Struthio camelus: one gene and its partner. The protein of the gene in region 2 binds, or shares a complex with, the protein of the main gene of each other region. Links are inferred from orthologs where the notes say so. Each region holds a gene or a part of one and is shown on either strand. Other genes may lie near its edges. The genes, in order: RANBP3 and KPNA4.

What was found.
Region 1: the proteins of KPNA4 (region 2) and RANBP3 are in contact, whole or in part, in a crystal structure (PDB 5XZX), measured with the Homo sapiens proteins. The link is inferred for Struthio camelus from reciprocal best matches to the Homo sapiens genes KPNA4 and RANBP3. Residues at the interface, in NP_002259.1 of Homo sapiens: Arg96, Leu99, Ser100, Asp102, Arg103, Pro105, Phe133, Trp137, Thr140, Asn141, Ala143, Ser144, Gly145, Thr146, Ser147, Thr150, Glu175, Gln176, Trp179, Gly182, Asn183, Gly186, Asp187, Asn219, Trp222, Val225, Asn226, Arg229, Asp261, Trp264; in NP_015561.1 of Homo sapiens: Asn114, Tyr115, Cys116, Pro117, Pro118, Val119, Lys120, Arg121, Glu122, Arg123, Thr124, Ser125, Leu127.

The regions. Positions count from the first base shown.
Region 1 is NC_090967.1:1,733,317-1,741,549, reverse strand, and holds the start of RANBP3 (ran-binding protein 3), read right to left. Parts: upstream 3,140-8,233; 5' UTR 3,037-3,139; coding exon 3,015-3,036; intron 1-3,014. UniProt on the Homo sapiens protein: Acts as a cofactor for XPO1/CRM1-mediated nuclear export, perhaps as export complex scaffolding protein. Bound to XPO1/CRM1, stabilizes the XPO1/CRM1-cargo interaction. In the absence of Ran-bound GTP prevents binding of XPO1/CRM1 to the nuclear pore complex.
Region 2 is NC_090950.1:31,080,085-31,088,247, reverse strand, and holds the start of KPNA4 (importin subunit alpha-3), read right to left. Parts: upstream 3,104-8,163; 5' UTR 2,892-3,103; coding exon 2,823-2,891; intron 2,696-2,822; exon of another isoform or gene 2,069-2,695; intron 1-2,068. UniProt on the Homo sapiens protein: Functions in nuclear protein import as an adapter protein for nuclear receptor KPNB1. Binds specifically and directly to substrates containing either a simple or bipartite NLS motif.

The DNA of each region.
Region 1 (8,233 bases), on a different chromosome or scaffold from region 2:
CTGCCACTCTGCAGTAGAGGACAGCAACCTTCCACCAAGATAAAGTTTGCCATCAAACCACTACATACAGAATTTTACAGTTTCAACAGTTCAATTGAGAAAAAGAGGAAAGACAAGTGAAAATAAAACTTTAAGGAAGGATTAGAAAATGGAAAATAAAGTATTTATGAGACTATTAAAGGACATGCTTGTAGTTGTGAAGAAATGCACCACAGAAAGACTGCTCATTAAAACATTTTTGAAGGCTTAAAAGATATTGGTAGAATGATTATTTGGAGACAATATTCACATCTCAATAGTGATGAAGACAATAGAGTAGGAGACACTAGAACCTAGAAAGTAAAAATAACTGATATATTGTTTAAAAAGGAGAAACTGATGAATGAATTGAAACAAAGAGGTGCTATAGTACAAGTGATGGGTTAAAATAAGTTTTGTATTAGTAAGCTGAAAGGACACAAGCAGAACAAAGAGAACTTTCAAGGCCAGAAGGTTTGATGCAGCAATCAAGGGATTAAGAGCCAAAGAGTTTCACTTGCATGAACACACAAGGCAAACTATTGTTTAAACATGCTAAGCATAAAAAAATCTGCGAGAATGACACGCAGTAGATACAAGTACCTAGAAAGAGGTTTCAGTCAAAGAATAATTAGCTTCGTACTTCATAACGAGGTATGATCAAGATAGCATTGTTATACAGACTGATCAAGATTGAGGGAGATTAAGAGCTCTGTTTTAACCTTGCTTCATTTGTCTCCCTATGAACATTTAGCTGTCAAATACCTTAAACAGGAAAAGACTGATACAGAGTAGAAGATCAAAGAATTATCTGTAAAGAAACAGTCATTTCATGTTTGCAAATGTGAATACCCAGACACAGGAAATGAATATTTCATCTACAATACTGTGACAATCCAAAGTTGACAGACAAATATGCTTAAGAATGAGGAGACAACAATCAAAGTCACCTGAGAACATCATTGCAATGTCAGAGACAGCAAACAGGGGAAGTAGGAAGGCTACGGAAGCCACTGGCTTTTCAGCAGAAGGAAGCCAACTCCATAAAGTACATATACTTGCACTAGTATACAAAGAACAGATAAGTCCAAAATGAATCTGGAGGAAAGAAAACTAACACTAGGCAGTGCACCCAGTGATACCAGAAAGAGCAGAAAAGACAACAGTTCAGAAGCAAACTGATCTTGCTTGATCTTAAGAAAAACTTTCTCATGGCAAGAAGAAACAGAATAGCAGGGCATGAGGATGACAAGTGCAGAAGGAGATACAAGCACAAACTAAAAGAGATTAGCTGGTGAGTGACGCTACTGGAGTCAAGGAAGGGTCCAAAGAGAAAGAAAGAGAGAAAAAGGAAGTCCTGATGAAAAAGTAAAGATTGTACCTTTTTTGTCCTCCAGAAAAAGTATACAACATTCTGCAGAAAGATAGAGAAGGAGGAATAGAAACACATGACAAGTCCACATGAAAATACATAATAAACATTGGTAATGTGTAATTTACCTTTGAGCTTAATGTTTCTCTTTAGAGTTAGAAGTTAAAGTGGAGAGCTTGCACGACTTCAGATAGTTATTCCCAAACTTCTGGTACTAAAAGAATCCAACAGGCCATCAAAGCTCATTATCGAAGGTCTGATATACTGCCATCAATAACCACTTACCAATTTGACTGTTTACTACTGTTCCTGAAACCAATTATCATGTGTCCCTGGGCACTGACAACTCCACTTCAGTTTGGGAACCAACAGCCAAAGATGCATCGTATCTCAGGATTTGTCAAATAATTTAAATGTAATTGTATGGTTAGCTGATTGAAGGATGCATCCTCAAAATCTACAATAGATGTTTGCTTTCTGTTGTTTCATGTTAACATCAGAGCCACTGTTCCGGTGTCAGAAATGCTCTCAAAAGAAGGGGCTTCATCATACACACTTTCATTCTCCTCCTTGAACATATTTTCCCTCTTTCATTAGCCTGAGAAGAATGATGAAGAACAACACAGACCACTGGGGATGAACTTGTGTTTACTGAGATTTCCAGGGAAATTACTCATTCTCAAATGACTACTGATGTGCTGCATCAGTTAAACAGCATTCTACACACCATCCACCTTGGAGCAGCATTTCCAAACCCTACATTGATACAGTGATATTTCACTAATACCTTTCAGAGTGAAATAAAAGTCCTGTTTCTTTATTTACAGAGCTTTCAAGCTAAGCAAAAAATTATTAGACTTCACCTAGCTTTCTATAACAGCTTCCCTTCTCCAGAGGCAGAATTAACATGAGCGGGAGTTAAGGAAGATTTACAATAGTCCAAAAGTTAGGGACGATGACCCCGAAGAACAACTAGAAAAGGAGATGCGAAGAGGCCACCGACTCTGCTGGACAAGAAGAACAGCGCTCACTGCCACGTTTAAGCATTAGGCGATTGCTCCTTTCGGCGGTGACTCGACCCTCCCCCGGAGGGCAGGCGAGCGCTGCGGGGACACCAGTGCACGTTTTCTGCGCGCAGGAAGTGCGGGAGCAGGGACCTGGGGCCGGCCGCCGCCCCCGGGAGCCGCCCCGCCTCACGGTGAGCCCTGTACCACCTCCTGGCCGGGAGACATTTACCAGCGCTGCCCGAGGCCACCGCTCCCGCGCTCGCAGCCACCCCTGAGCCCCCGCAGGGCCGGCGGTAGCGAGGACACCCACTCCCGGCGGGCCGCCAGCCCTGCAGGCGCTACGGCACGGGACAGAGCAAGGCCGAAGAGGAGCGCGGCGGCTCCGCCGCTGCGGCCGGTCGCTCCCTTTGTCCGGCCACTCGCCCCAGAGGAGCCGAGGTGCGGAGAGGCCGCGGGAAGGGGGCGCTTCCGCGGGCGGACCCGCGCCTGGGCGCTCCTCTGCGCCCAGATGACAGGGACAGGCTCGGCCAGCTCGGGGTCAGTGCCGCCACCGCCCGGAGACCGAACCGACAGAAGCCGCGACCAACACCCCCCACACGCCACCAGCGTCCCCCTACCTTCGTTCGCTAGGTCCGCCATTTTACTTCCTCAATCACGCCCACAATGCATCACGCAGCCGGACGGCCTCCACTTACAGGGGGCCCAGCGGGGCAGCGCATGCGCAAAGGGACAGCTGCTCCGTTGAGTCACTACGCATGTGCCGACGGCCAGTGCCGGCAGTCTGGCAGGAAGGGTGCTCACGTAGGTGCTGGGAGCTGCCCCGGCGCGTGGGGTCCCTGCCGCGCGTGCGCAGGGGCGCGCCCCCGTGGGAGGCCTGCAGGGGCAGGAGCGAGCGCGCCGTCGGCCGCTGCTGCCGGATGCGCGGCGCGACGGCAGCGCGAGGGAGGGCCGGCCGGGCCCGTCGGGGGACGCGAGCGGCAGCTCCGCTGTGTTGGCAGGTGGCGTCCGCGGGGCTGGGCTGGGCTGCCTAGGAGGGCACTTCGCGACCGGTTGCGGTGCAGCGGCGCAGGCCTCTGGTGTCGGCCGTACTCCGTGTGCCACTTGCGGCCCGGCCGTGCGGCCCGGCTGAGCCCGGCCTCCGCGGAGCGGTGTCCGCAGTGCCGGCTGGGTCGGGCCTGGCCGGCTAGCCTGGCTGGGTTCGCCACAGTGCCAACAGGTCACCCCCTTGAGTCCAGTTACTCTCTTCAGTCTGCTCCCCTTGCTTTCCTCCAGCGTTTGCAGTCGTTGGATTGGGGTCTTTTGGACGTGTTGTCCGCAGTTCTTTCTGTTTCCTATTTTGCTGTGCACTCCTGTCAGCCCCCATAGCCTCTAATGGCTGCAAGATGCAGAATTTCACCACCTGAGTTAAACCAATCTCCTTTCATTACTTTCTATTTACTACTTTCCTTAGTGCTCCACAGTTGTTGTCTTGTGGGATTTAACTGGACAATAATTCTGCATTCCGCAAGTTACTTTGTGATTGTATCAGCCTTGACCATCTCTTCCCTAGCCTTTTCTCCAAACTGAAGAATTCAAAGCATTTTAGTTCCACCTTCTAAGCTTCTCCACCCCCTAGATCAATTTTTGCCTATGCTCTGTGACTTCACTTCACTGCCTCCCACTTGAGATGTAGAGACCAGAACTGTACATGTTACTCAAAATGTAGGTGCACCAACGTTTTATATAGCCACAAATTGATACAGTGTAATATATATATATGGTGTATATATACACATAGAGAGAGAGAGAGAGAGTAAAGATACAGTATATTATTTAGTGACATTCTGTTGTGTTCTCAATGTTCTTGATGGTGCCCCATATTTTGTTGGCTTCTTTGGCCAGTCCACTGACTGCGTTGACTAGATCTCTACTCATTAGAAAGGGAGCCAACAGCAAATAGCTCAGAGGTGGACTCCTAGAATTACATGACATAAATCCTACCTTTAGTGATTGCTTTACGGAAAAGCTCAGTGGCACACTATAAAACCAAAATCATTAGAATATATCACTTACAAGCCATCACATGAGCACGGAATAGAGTCTGTGATCAGGGCCAGGCCCCTAATCACTCATCCAAGTACCAGGTATGTATATGTGGTTTTGCTGCTAGGAGAATTTTCATCAGGAATATGACAGTAGATGACAGCAGAACTGGCAAAAGTTAGTAAGAGTAAATGAATGGCACTAATTTAAATTAGAAAAGATAACCTATCTTTAACCAGTAGCAGATGTCAGCATTTAGTGAAACTTTTCTGAAGAATGGACAGTACTATTTGGAGCTGTTTGACTACTAGTAGGAGCTGTATTATCTGCTGAATGGACAACACAGTGGGCACAAGTAATCCAGGTTATTTCTGAAGGGTGTTAGGGATAAATTCTTAACACCCTTGCTGGATGGGCCATCTAGTTGGACTAGATGCTGTTCTGGATCTGGTACTCATGACCAAGGAAGGATTGTTTGGGGATGTGGTAATCAAGGGCAGTGTTGGCTGTAGCAAGCATGAAATAGTAGCATTCAGGATCCTGCGGGGAGTGAAGAAGGCAAGTAGCAAAGTAACAGATCCTGGACTTCAGAAGAATAGATTTTGGGTTATTCAGGGAAATGGTAGATGGGATTCTGTGGGAGGCAGCTCTGAAGGTCAGAGTAGCTCAAGAGAGCAGGCAGGTCTTTCAGGACAGCTTCCTCCAAGCACAGGAACAGTCTATCCCAGCAATCAGGAAAATGAGTAGGTGTATCAGGAGATAAACTTAGCTAAACAGGGAACTCATGACTGAACAAAAAATACATATACTGGAGACAGAAACAAGCATGTGCTACAAAAGAGAGATACAGAAACATTGCTTGGTCTTACAGGCATGGTGTTAGGAAAGCTAAAGCTCAGTTAGATTCGAAACTGGCAAGGGATGTCAAAGGAAACAAGAAACGCTTCTACTGCTATGTTAACAATAAGTAAGCAAAATATGGGACTGTTACTGAATTGTATGGATGATTTCGTGACAGTAGACACAGATAAACTTGAGGGACTCAATGCTGCCTTTGCCACAGCCTCTTCTAAGGAGGTCGTCTAGGCTTCTGTGCCCAGAGGTAGGGTTCAAGGAGAAGAACTATCTGTAGTGGAAGAGGATCAAGTCAAGAATCTCTTGAGAACACTCAGCCCCCGCAAGCCCATGGTACCGAAAGGGTTGCATCACAGGGGGCTGAGAGAGCTGGCTGATGTCACTGAGCAGCCACTCTCTGTTATCTTTAGAAGGTCATGGAGATCAAGGGAGGCCAAATCCACATTGAAGGGGATACTTTAAGACTCTACTCAATCCATTATTCAGAGTAGACTACAAAGGCAGAGGGAAAATACAATTAAGCGTGATGCTTTTCAAATATCAGAGAAAGGTCCTGCCATCTTTCCTTGACTTAAATAAACTTGCCCCTGTGTGGTGTGCCATCGTGTCCTGAGCAAATCAGTCCCAGGGCCTTGGAGGGAAGGGTCATGGTATCCCCAAAGTTGCCTCAGGGGGCAGGGGAAGGGCATGGCGCTAGTGTAGTGTAGACATTCTAAAGGATGGACATGCCTGAGATGAGAAAGCTACCTCCTACTCCAGCTTCTGGAACGTAGCGTATCACCTGCTTGTTGAAAGGTTGTGGATAACAGTACTCAAAAGATGGAGAGAAAGAGGAAAGAAATCCTGCTCTAACACTGGCTTCAGGGTAGACCAAAGCTGGAGGACAGAACAGGGAATGTCTTTTCCTGGACCAGCTGCACAAGAAATCCCTGGAGCAACTAGGCAATAAAAGACCTGGGACTGATAACACTGCTGGGAGCTCTGTGGTCACAGTTCCTACCTTGAGACTCTGGCGTAATGAACCCAATGGCTGAAGCCCTGAAATACGTGAAACCTCTTGTGATTCATGTAACCATATGTACTACAGAGTGGATGATATAAGGGATTGCATGTCCCATCTGTTGCCCTTCTTCAGTTAAAAAATTCATGTCAGCTGAAACTCTGCAACTGTGAGGATGTTGGCTGTGATGTCTGAGATAGATAACTGATTCTTAGAATAGTTTCTTACACTGTTGTACACATTGTTATACATTCTTAAAATAGTCATGCCTATCTAATAAAAGCAATCCAAACAGTGGGTGCTTACTAGGCTCTAGTGGTGAAAACAACCCTCTTTTCAACAGTCATGGGATTCTAGAGATAGTTTCTTAGTACTGTATGGTGAGCACCAGTTCCACTAGATGACCTGAAATATGACCTTCTGCATGGGGAAATTTTGCACCCATTGCCAGTCATTAAAGTTCTGGAGGATAATTTTGTTCCACTAGTGTGTATTTTGTACTCTCACATTATAGTCTGAGGGGGACAGTGTGTAGACTGCAGCCACCAGTGCAATCAGTTCCTGTAAGGGAGGGAGAATGTCACAGCTGAGTTAGACCTGCCTTTTCTCCCGGTCTTGCAACACAGCTCCATCAAGGAAGCTGGTATCTGCCCATCACTCCCTGAACACTCTTGTCCCTGGGGTGAAAATGGCCCTGAAACAGTCTTCTATGTTGGTTGCCTTGCCTGTGGCAGTTACAGAAACATTAGGCAGCACATACATTGCAACACTGCAAAAGAAGACCCTGGAGATTTGTATGGAACAAGATGCCTGTCATAAGAGTATTCTGGTGTGATCACAAGGTGTTCATGAGTCAGGTGATCAGAAAGTCCTCTTATTGACTGGTTAAATGACAGGAAATTAATACCTGGTCTGTTTGCACATCACTGAGAAGCCATCAAAAAAGTCCAGTGGGAAAAGAGCAGGAACATTGCCTGTTATACTAAATTAATATTAATTAGTGAAACTAATGAAGGGTTTAGGAAGAACCTCACAATACTGAAAAATTGAAAGTAATGTACATGGGGAAAACCAAACCTAACTGTATATAGCAATGATTTATATTTATGTATGTATATATGAGCGCGTGTGTGTGTGTGTATGTGTGTATGTATACACATACCCCTATAACAACCAGTTGCAAACACACTAGAGTTGAGTGGTTCTCTGAAAAAATCTGCTCAGTGATTAGCAGTAAAGACACAAAGAGACTACTAGAAATTATGAGGCAAGAGTAAATGCAAACAAGAAACATCAGTATGTAGATGTATAATTTCATTTTGTGTCTATGTGTTGAAAACTATGTACAGTTCTACTTAACACCCCCCTGTCCCCCGCCCCCCACCAAAAGATACAGTAAAACTAGCAGAACTGCAGGGAAAAGGAAGAAGGGTTATTACAGGAATTGAACTGTTCTATGTAACAAGCGATTACGTAGGGTAGAGTAGCACTACTCTGAAAAAGAATCATACAATAGTAGAAAAATTAATGCTGGGAGGGACCTCTGGGGGTTTCTAGTCCAAACTCTTGCTCACACAGGGCCAAATTCAAAGTTGGATCAGGTTCCTCAGAGGGCCTTCCAGCTGAGTTTTGAATATCTCCAAGGATGGAAATCCCACCATCTCTCTGAGTCCCTGTCCCAGCGCTGGACACAGCTGGAGTAGACACAGTGCAAGCAATGGAAGCCTTTATCCTACCCATTTCTGATTTCTTGTATTGGATCAGGTTCCTACCCATTTCTGATTTCTTGTATTGGATCAGGTTGGACTATTTTATGTCCAAGTCCAAGAAGTCCAAGAAGTCATCCTGACAAGTTTGTTGAGTCTCCTACTTGCTACCCGAGTTCCATAAACTTAGAAAGATCTTGACCTCTAGATGGGCAAAACAGCCACCATCATAATCTGCTTTGACAGTTACAAG
Region 2 (8,163 bases):
CAGATACTGCTTTAGTATTGGCTGCAGATTAGCTCTCTCATGCCACTAACTCTTCAGCTGTTAAAGAGTCTGTATCGCTCAATATTTATGTGATCAATCCTATAAATAACAAAAAAAGGACAAGGAAGCATTCTGTATTTCTGGTATTTCTTTATTCCCAGCCTAGTCATCAATGTCATCTTCAAACATACAGCAGCAATTGTTTACAACATAACAGGTCCTTGCATGCATGTTTATCCCATGCTTAAGTGCACGAATAACTTCCATTAAGCCCGTATTTTGCAAAATAGCGTGGGTTTGTTTTAAGACCAGGCTTTACATTTGTAGAAGCACATTGATATGAACTGGAAAGTGAAAGTCAGCTTTAATTTATATTTACATAGGCAAAGAGCTAAGCATATGCTTAGCATTTTTAAAGGTAAAAGCTAAAAATTCTGTTTTCTGAAAAATAGACAAATAACCCCCTACCAGGTGAAAAGACCTGAAAGTTGAGTACAATGTGAGAGCAGCTACTATTAAATTAATTGCCAATGGAGCTGAGAAACATGTAGGAACGTGAACCATTTTTAAAGAGTTTATAATCTGCAACATGATAAACCTCCATTGTCCCCAGAAGAATTCATTAGTTTGGCATTCACCAAAACTAATTCTAGAGTGATTTAAGATTTGTAAGATGGTGTATGGAGGCCAACCGTCACAGGAAAGAAAAAAGGATCACCCGTTTTGAATAAAAGAAACTAATGGCAAAAGATGCAACTTCAGCAAAGGTAAAGTGGGGGAGGAGTGAAGGAGGCAGGACAAGGGAAAGAGAAAGATCAAACGTTGGCTTCCTACGTGAAATAAATAGACAGCTTTCTGCCAAAAGCAACACAGAAATATACCTGTATTATGAACAGACTGAACACTCACTAGTAACTGTTGCTGCCATAGGATGCCTGACTACAAGCAAGCCCTACCAACATCTCATGCTCAGATGAAAAACGTGGTGTGTAAGCAGTTAACAAATAAGAATGATAGCCATAAGCCTGAGCTATTGTATGAAAAATAACTGTCCATGGTAGTTATTTTAGGTACCAAGCATATGTTCCAAGATTTGTTGGATAGATGTCAGTATCTAAAATTTAACAGTGCCCAACAGTGTTTTTTCACTACAGAAGGCCGCTTAAATGCATCAGCGAATTCAAAAAATACTTGAGAGATTACCTGCTTCCCGATACACACACACAGGGCTCTTATTTCTGCATGCGTTCATGTTAAGCCTTCCCTACTTCAGCTGACTTACCTTAAAACCAAGTATGTAGGCACCAGAAGAGAAATAAGGCGGACACACTCCAATCTATACTTTTCCATAAGGTTCATTTTTAGTATGTCAGCATATACTTTACTGCACACTTTCCTAAACAGTCTCTTCCTGTTCAGTTATCCGTTCAAAGACAACTATACAACTTAAGACAAAAACAAATCAACATCTAAGGCAAGTTCTCACTAACAAAGGTAACAACTCTACTAAACAACAGCGTAATCATTGCATTAACTATTGCCCTTTACAGCTATTTTAACATTTGGCATTGTCAAACTGAAGAATAAACTGCTATACCAGCACAATTGTTTCTTGGTAAGGAGTTGCCTTGGATATTCATTTGTCTATACTGTTTCGAAACAAACAAAAAAAAACAAACAAAAAAACCTCCCAAACCACCAAGATATTGGCTTCTAGATTAGCCAAATGCCCAGGAAGAAACATGGCTGATATTCTCCCTGAATGATAGACAGCTAAGTAAACGCATCCTTTACTTTCGAAAAAAAAAAAAAAAAGGTAAAATCATCTGTGTGGCGATTTCATAGGAAGACTAGGATCTTATACTATGCTATTCACAGGGACACATATTGAGGCAGATACAAAATGGAAATATCCAAAGCCCATTTCTTCATCAGACATAACCCCCACGCTATGAATATTACCATACACAGGCTCCCCAGTCAGCACTGCTGGCAAGCATTTACGGGTGAGGCTCGATATATAATTTTAGTATTAGAATACTTACTAGGGAAACCCTAAAATAATTACCTCTTCTGCTGTGTTGACGAAGCAGCTTTACAGCTGAAGCAAATAGCATACATGGCAATCCGGCCTCCAAAAAGTTTAGAGGCTGAATACTACAAGCCACGACTGTTTCCACGGCTCAGCGAATTTAACACTAAAATACTAAGATTCGCCCCCTTTTCCAAAAGTGCGTTTAAGCGAACAGTTATTGCCTACGCTTAACGTCACGGATTAATACTCGAGTATCTTGGAGACAAACAGCACAACTGGGCCTTAATCCCTGACTCAGGCTTTTCGGGGCTGCTCAGCGCAAAAAGAGTAGTTATTAAGCGTTCGGGAGGAAATTAAAGGTACGAACGCGCTACTTCCATTGCGGCAGACGAGCACGGCCGCGCGGAAGCACCTTAACGAAGGGCGGTTTTAGCTACGACGCCCAGGCGGGCCCGATAAGCGCCCGGGGCGCGAGGGCAAGGCGGCCGCGGGGGGGGGGGGGGGGGAAGAGGCAGGGAGAGCAGGGCCCGGCGGAGCCGCCAGCGCCGCCCCCTCCCCCTCACGCGTGAGGGAGCCTCACGCGCGTGGCGAGACGGCGGCGGTGGCCGCCCGCGCGCGGAGCCCAACGGCCGCGCCCGGCCCCACAGCGCGGCCTCACCCCCCCCCCCTCCGCCGCCGGGCGGGGGGGAGGGGAGAGGAAGGGGGGAGGCGCTGCCGCCTCTTTCCGCGCAGGCCGCGGGGGCCCCGGCCGGCGGATTAAGGAAAGACGCCACAGGGCGGCGGTTACCTCCAGGTCGCGGCCTTTGTTCTTGAAGTTCTTCAGCCGCTGGTTGTCCAGTTTCTCGTTGTCGGCCATGGCGGGGGGAAGGTGGGAGGGAGGGAGGGAGGGAGAGCGCGCGGCGGCCTCCTCCTCCTCCTCCTTCTCCTCCGCCGCCGCCGCCTTCTCTTCTTCTTCCTCCTCCTCCTCTTCGCGGGCCCGCGCCCCTGCCCGCCGGGGTCCCCCTTGCCGCCGCTGGAGCCGCGGCCCGAGCCGCGCCGCGCTGCCGGGGCGGCCGCTGCCCGCGGGCCCGGCTGCCTGGGCGGCGGAACGTGCCGGTAGCGAGGGACGGAGCCGAGCGGGGGAGGGGAAGGAGAGGAGGGAGGGAGGGAGAGAGGGAGGGAGGGAAAAGGGGAGGGAGGAAAAGAGGGGCAGCCTCGATCTGGGCCGGCCGGCCGCGCTCGCTGATTGGCCGCGGCGCCCGAGGCCGGCGGCGAATAGGAGCAGCGAGGCGGAGGGTGGGAGCCGCGCGGCGGCGTGACGCGCGCGCTGACGGTGCGCGAGGGAGGAGGGAGGGGGGGAAGGGGGCGGGGCGCCGGCCCTTCGAGGAGGTTCGGCCGCTTCCCTCAGGCGCGGCGGCCATTTTGGGTGGCCGGTGCGCGCCGCGGGGGGGGGGGACGACAAGCGGCGGGGGGGGCCGGGCCGGGCCGGGCCTAGATGCCTTCCCTCCCTTCACCACTCGTCCTCTCCCCACCCCGGCGGTTGCTGCTGCGTTCACCCAGCTGAAAGTCAGCAACGCCATCATCCTTCGCCCCGCTCCACTTCGTGTTCGCTGACCCCCAAGGGGCGCCCCCGGCGCCCTCAGGAACGTCCCCCCGCGGGAGGCGCTGCCACTCGCCGCCGGTTTATAAACAAAACCAAGCACAACACGTTTCTCCAAAACTGCCCCAAACGTGGCCGCGGGATGGGCCCGTGGGTGTGTGTCAGCGCCGGCGGGGAGGGTTTGCGCGGCGAACGCGGGGCAGCGAGGAGAGAGGGGCGGCGGGCCACCCCCCCCCCACTCCGGGCCCCTAGCGGGGAGCGGGACGGTGCCAACCAGCGAAGCTTCACGAAATAATGAAATCGGGAGGGAGCGAGGCACTGGGGCTGTCGAGGTGGCCTCGGTTTGACGCCGTCCAGACCGTAATCCAACCCGCTGTACTTTTCCTAGACTTTGGCGCTCAGGCGACTGGTTTTGGAAAGAGGAAGAAGTAGCGCGCGGGAAGCGGCAGCAGGTATCTCGGCAGCCTCCTGAGAGACGGGGTAAGCTCTCTTAAGGAATCAGCACCACCCGTATGCAGATCTGTCTGCGGGAGTGCTGCAGTTCAGCTTTACTTGCCAGTATTCTCATTTACGCTGCTCAGCCGCTGTACACCAAGCCCCCAAGCGAGATTTAGTGGCAGTAATTCTGACAGATAAGGGATGAACAGCGTTGGGAGCAGAAGACTTTTTCAGTAAGATCATGGATCTTTCCTGGCCTCTTAGCACGATGATGAAGATAGGCTGCAGTGAGCCAGAAATAGGTTGCTGTTGTCTTTTGGACTCTGCTACCTCAGGTAGGCCCATGTCTCACTAGTTTGATGATGACAGTCAGCCTCTGTGGCGGTAGATTTTGGCCAGTAGCAATTACTGTAATTCATTCTCAAGGGCTGTAGGTGGACCGCGTTCCCAAACTAATTGTGAGCATTCAGCAGATAGGCTTCTCACGTTTAAGTATAATTATCAGTGTTAGGCACCTTTGTTAACTCCCTGCTTCCTTCCAGGGTGCTTTGTGACAAGTATTACCCATCTGTTATGCAAACTGTGGTGAGCTGGAGGAGGTGGTTCCTGAATTTGCGTTGAACACCCCAGCAAAGGGAATGATATTATGAAAATTCCACAGTGGTGCTTTGCTTGAGTATAGTCCGGGGCATTTTGATTACACCAAAAATGTGGAGCTTGGAGTATGTCCCTGCCTTCATTTTAGTAAATCCTAGCTATCAAAAAAGTTTTTTCTTGGGAATGCCAATCTGATAAGCTATTGCCTGTTGACAGTGACTCTCCCAGAAATACAAAAGAAAACTCCTCACTTCTTTAGCTGTTCTGTGATGCAGCTGATTAGAATACAGAGAATTTCTAGCAATGTAGACAACTCAGTGATTACCAGAAAAAAAAACCCACACATTTTCTTCACAAAATATCCAGTGGTTTTTCTTCGCGAGGCTTACTTGTTAATGCCTGTGACGTTTGGACTCGATGGTAATTTTTGAGGGAAAAAATGCTCGTAGTGGTACCGTGTCCAGTCTTCCAGAATATTGGAAAAAAAGTTCTGTCCAAACTGTCTAAGCTAACCTTGTTCATTTTGATTGAAAAGAGATAAGGAACATTCAAAAAAGCATGCACGTGCTGAGCAGAGGGGATGGTAACTTCTACTTCTCTAACTTGATCGAGAAAAGAATGCCTCTACAGATAAGTAGAAGTGCTCACTGGATGTTATACTGTCCTGGTCACGTGTGTAGTTGTATTCAGTCGTAACGCTTGTAGAATTAAGCCTGGTTTCTTCTTTGTTAAAGTCTTATATGTTGATGAGCCTCTCATTTCATCAGTGGCCTTATGATTTTCCTTAAACATACTTGTTGAGAAAAGTAAAAGCCATGATGGAAGGTGCAATCTTTCAAGTAGGTATAGTTAAGACACTTGGAGATTTATGAATATCAGAAGAGAGAACTTAATTTTAGTTTTATGCTCAAGAAAACATGACGATGATGATCTCCCAGGCTACCGTATATTTTATGTCGGGGAGATTTTTCAGAGCATGGGACGCCGTTCCTAGATAGAGTTGTAATCGAGCCTGAAAGTGATAGAATTCGAGTCACCACAGCCATGTTGATTGCATGAATGTAGCGGCAGTGGCACGACAGTGCGGGTAGGGTGAATTAGTCAGGGTTAATTAGTCCAGGTGGCATTCCATATAGCCATAGCTAGCTCTCTACCAGTACGTAAACTAACCTGTTCAAAGCTGACTTAGGTACAGCTACCGCTACACATTGCAGTCGGAACTTACAAGAAAGACTTTTTCCCTGACATTGCTATTTAAATCGAACAACAACAAAAAAGTAATTTGTCAGTTTGATGGTGTTTTAGAATACTAATTAGGAAAAAAGAAAAGAAAAAAGAACACTTATTTAGCTAGATTTTGGTTGTTACCACAGCACAATTGCCTTAGGAAGACAGGATGTTACAGCAGTAAAACCATCGCAGTATCATACCTCACTTTTTCAAAAGTAATATACTTTCAAATTGATGGTGTCACTTCCAAAGAGAAGTCTTTAATAAAGAGACAAGAAAAATTAAAATATGTAAAAAGTAGCAATGCATGACGTCTTAGAAACAAGAAATTGTATCAGCTTCCTCAGTTTTAATTCAGTTAAAGAAAATCACCAAATAGTTTCTCATCACTCTTAGCAGGGACAGTAGCTTCTGCACTTACTGTTTCAGGAAATAATCAGTAAGTAAAATATTTTTCTTTACCAAATTGGAAATCTCTAATTTTTGCTGTAGCTTTTGTTACTATGAGTTTCTTGTATAACCTCCTGTTTACACCTGAACCGTTTTAATTAACTGAAGGGAAACGCCCTGCTTGTGCTTTAATTTTCAAGAATATTTTAAAGCTGCTTCCTTTTGTGATTAAGGATTGTGTTGTATGTTTCACTAGAATACTTAAAACCCTTCATCTTTTTTAGTGACTGTCATCTTTGAAATTGCCCTAGATGAACATACCTGTTGTAATCACGTAGTTGATCACATAATGGAAATAGTATTTCACTGGCAACTGTGCTCTAGTACTTTTTGCTGAACCACAGCTTTTTACATGCTAAGGGTACGAAATCCAGAAAGAGAGACCTAAAAATAACAAAGATTTAACTAATAACCATTGCAAAAGATGTGAAAAATCAGGATGCAGTACTACGAATCTGTGAATGGCTGTGAATGGCTGATGCAGTTAATACCTTTAAAATTGAGCTCCTTCTGGGGAAATTATGTACTGAAAGAAGAAAAAGATGAGAATTGTAACGAGTGCAATAGCTTTGCAACTTTATCTAAAAATATAAACAGAAACATTGAGAAGTTACCGTTACACTATAGAATGAAGTCGTTGCTCTCAGAATTAAAAGGTGACAGATATTTTCCAGATCTACCAATAACTTGCTGGTTGGTTGTAATGTCACTTCCATTGAGAAGAGAGAGCTTGATGTCCTTGAGAAGCATCTCTGCAGAATGTTTTTTGAAATTTTGTGGCTCTAAAAAGTTTCCTTTGTGAATCAGTGTCTTAAAGGAGAATGGAGGCCCTGGTTCTGCGGAACGACATTATTATACTAATGACATGGTTATTAATAGTGAAACTGGACAAGGTACTAGAGTGTTAAACTCCTCACGGTATCGTGAGATTATAAATAGTCAGGTTATGAAAGTAAAAAAAGTAAATATACATACATATATATGTATATATAGTATCTAAGACCCAATCCAGAAGAAGTCTGTGAAGAGGAAAGAAAAAATATTTTGCTCCATCACAACTTTTTTCGTAGCTACCTTTTTCCTGTCTTTTCTAACTCAAGCTCATCCTACCTCTGCTACCTCCTGCTGTCACCACGCATAGCACTGACTGATTACGTAGCGTGTGGTTTGGGAAAGATGGAATTGGAAAGCCAGCACATTCTTTTGTGACCAAAACTGACTCAGTGTTGAACAGTGACCTTTAATGAAGTCATCTCTTTTTTGACCTTCCCTCTACATTATTGGAAAAAGATTGACAGAGACAAGGGACTGAGCAATATCTTGTCATTTTATGAGTAACCGTTTGAAAATAGCTAAGAATCACCGAGTTAGTGTTCCTTGGAGAATCTTCCGTCAAAACCAAATCTATTCTAAAATCACATTACTGCTTGCATTGTCAGATCTAACGCAACATTCTGGTGTGTATAGCTTTTGTACAGTGTACCTTTGTATGAAATATAAGGACGTGCTTCGTTCTTATTAAATTATGTATGTTCAGAGGAATACTACCCTTCAGGAGTCTTTGATATGTGTTTCTGGTCTGGTATCATCTGAAGAATAATTTATAGTATGACTTCAGTGAAGACATAATCAGAGATTAATCAAGTGCGTTTTGTTTAACTGTAGTCTAATTAATCTGTTTAGCTCTCAGTGGAACAATTATCATGTTATATTCTTACTGGTTTGATTTTACCTCAGATCTGCAGTGCTAATCTCCCAGCACTTGGAAGACTAGTTTTGAAGAACAGACCAGTTCCCTTCTGAATTCTTGATCTTGCGGCATTGGACTGTCTTA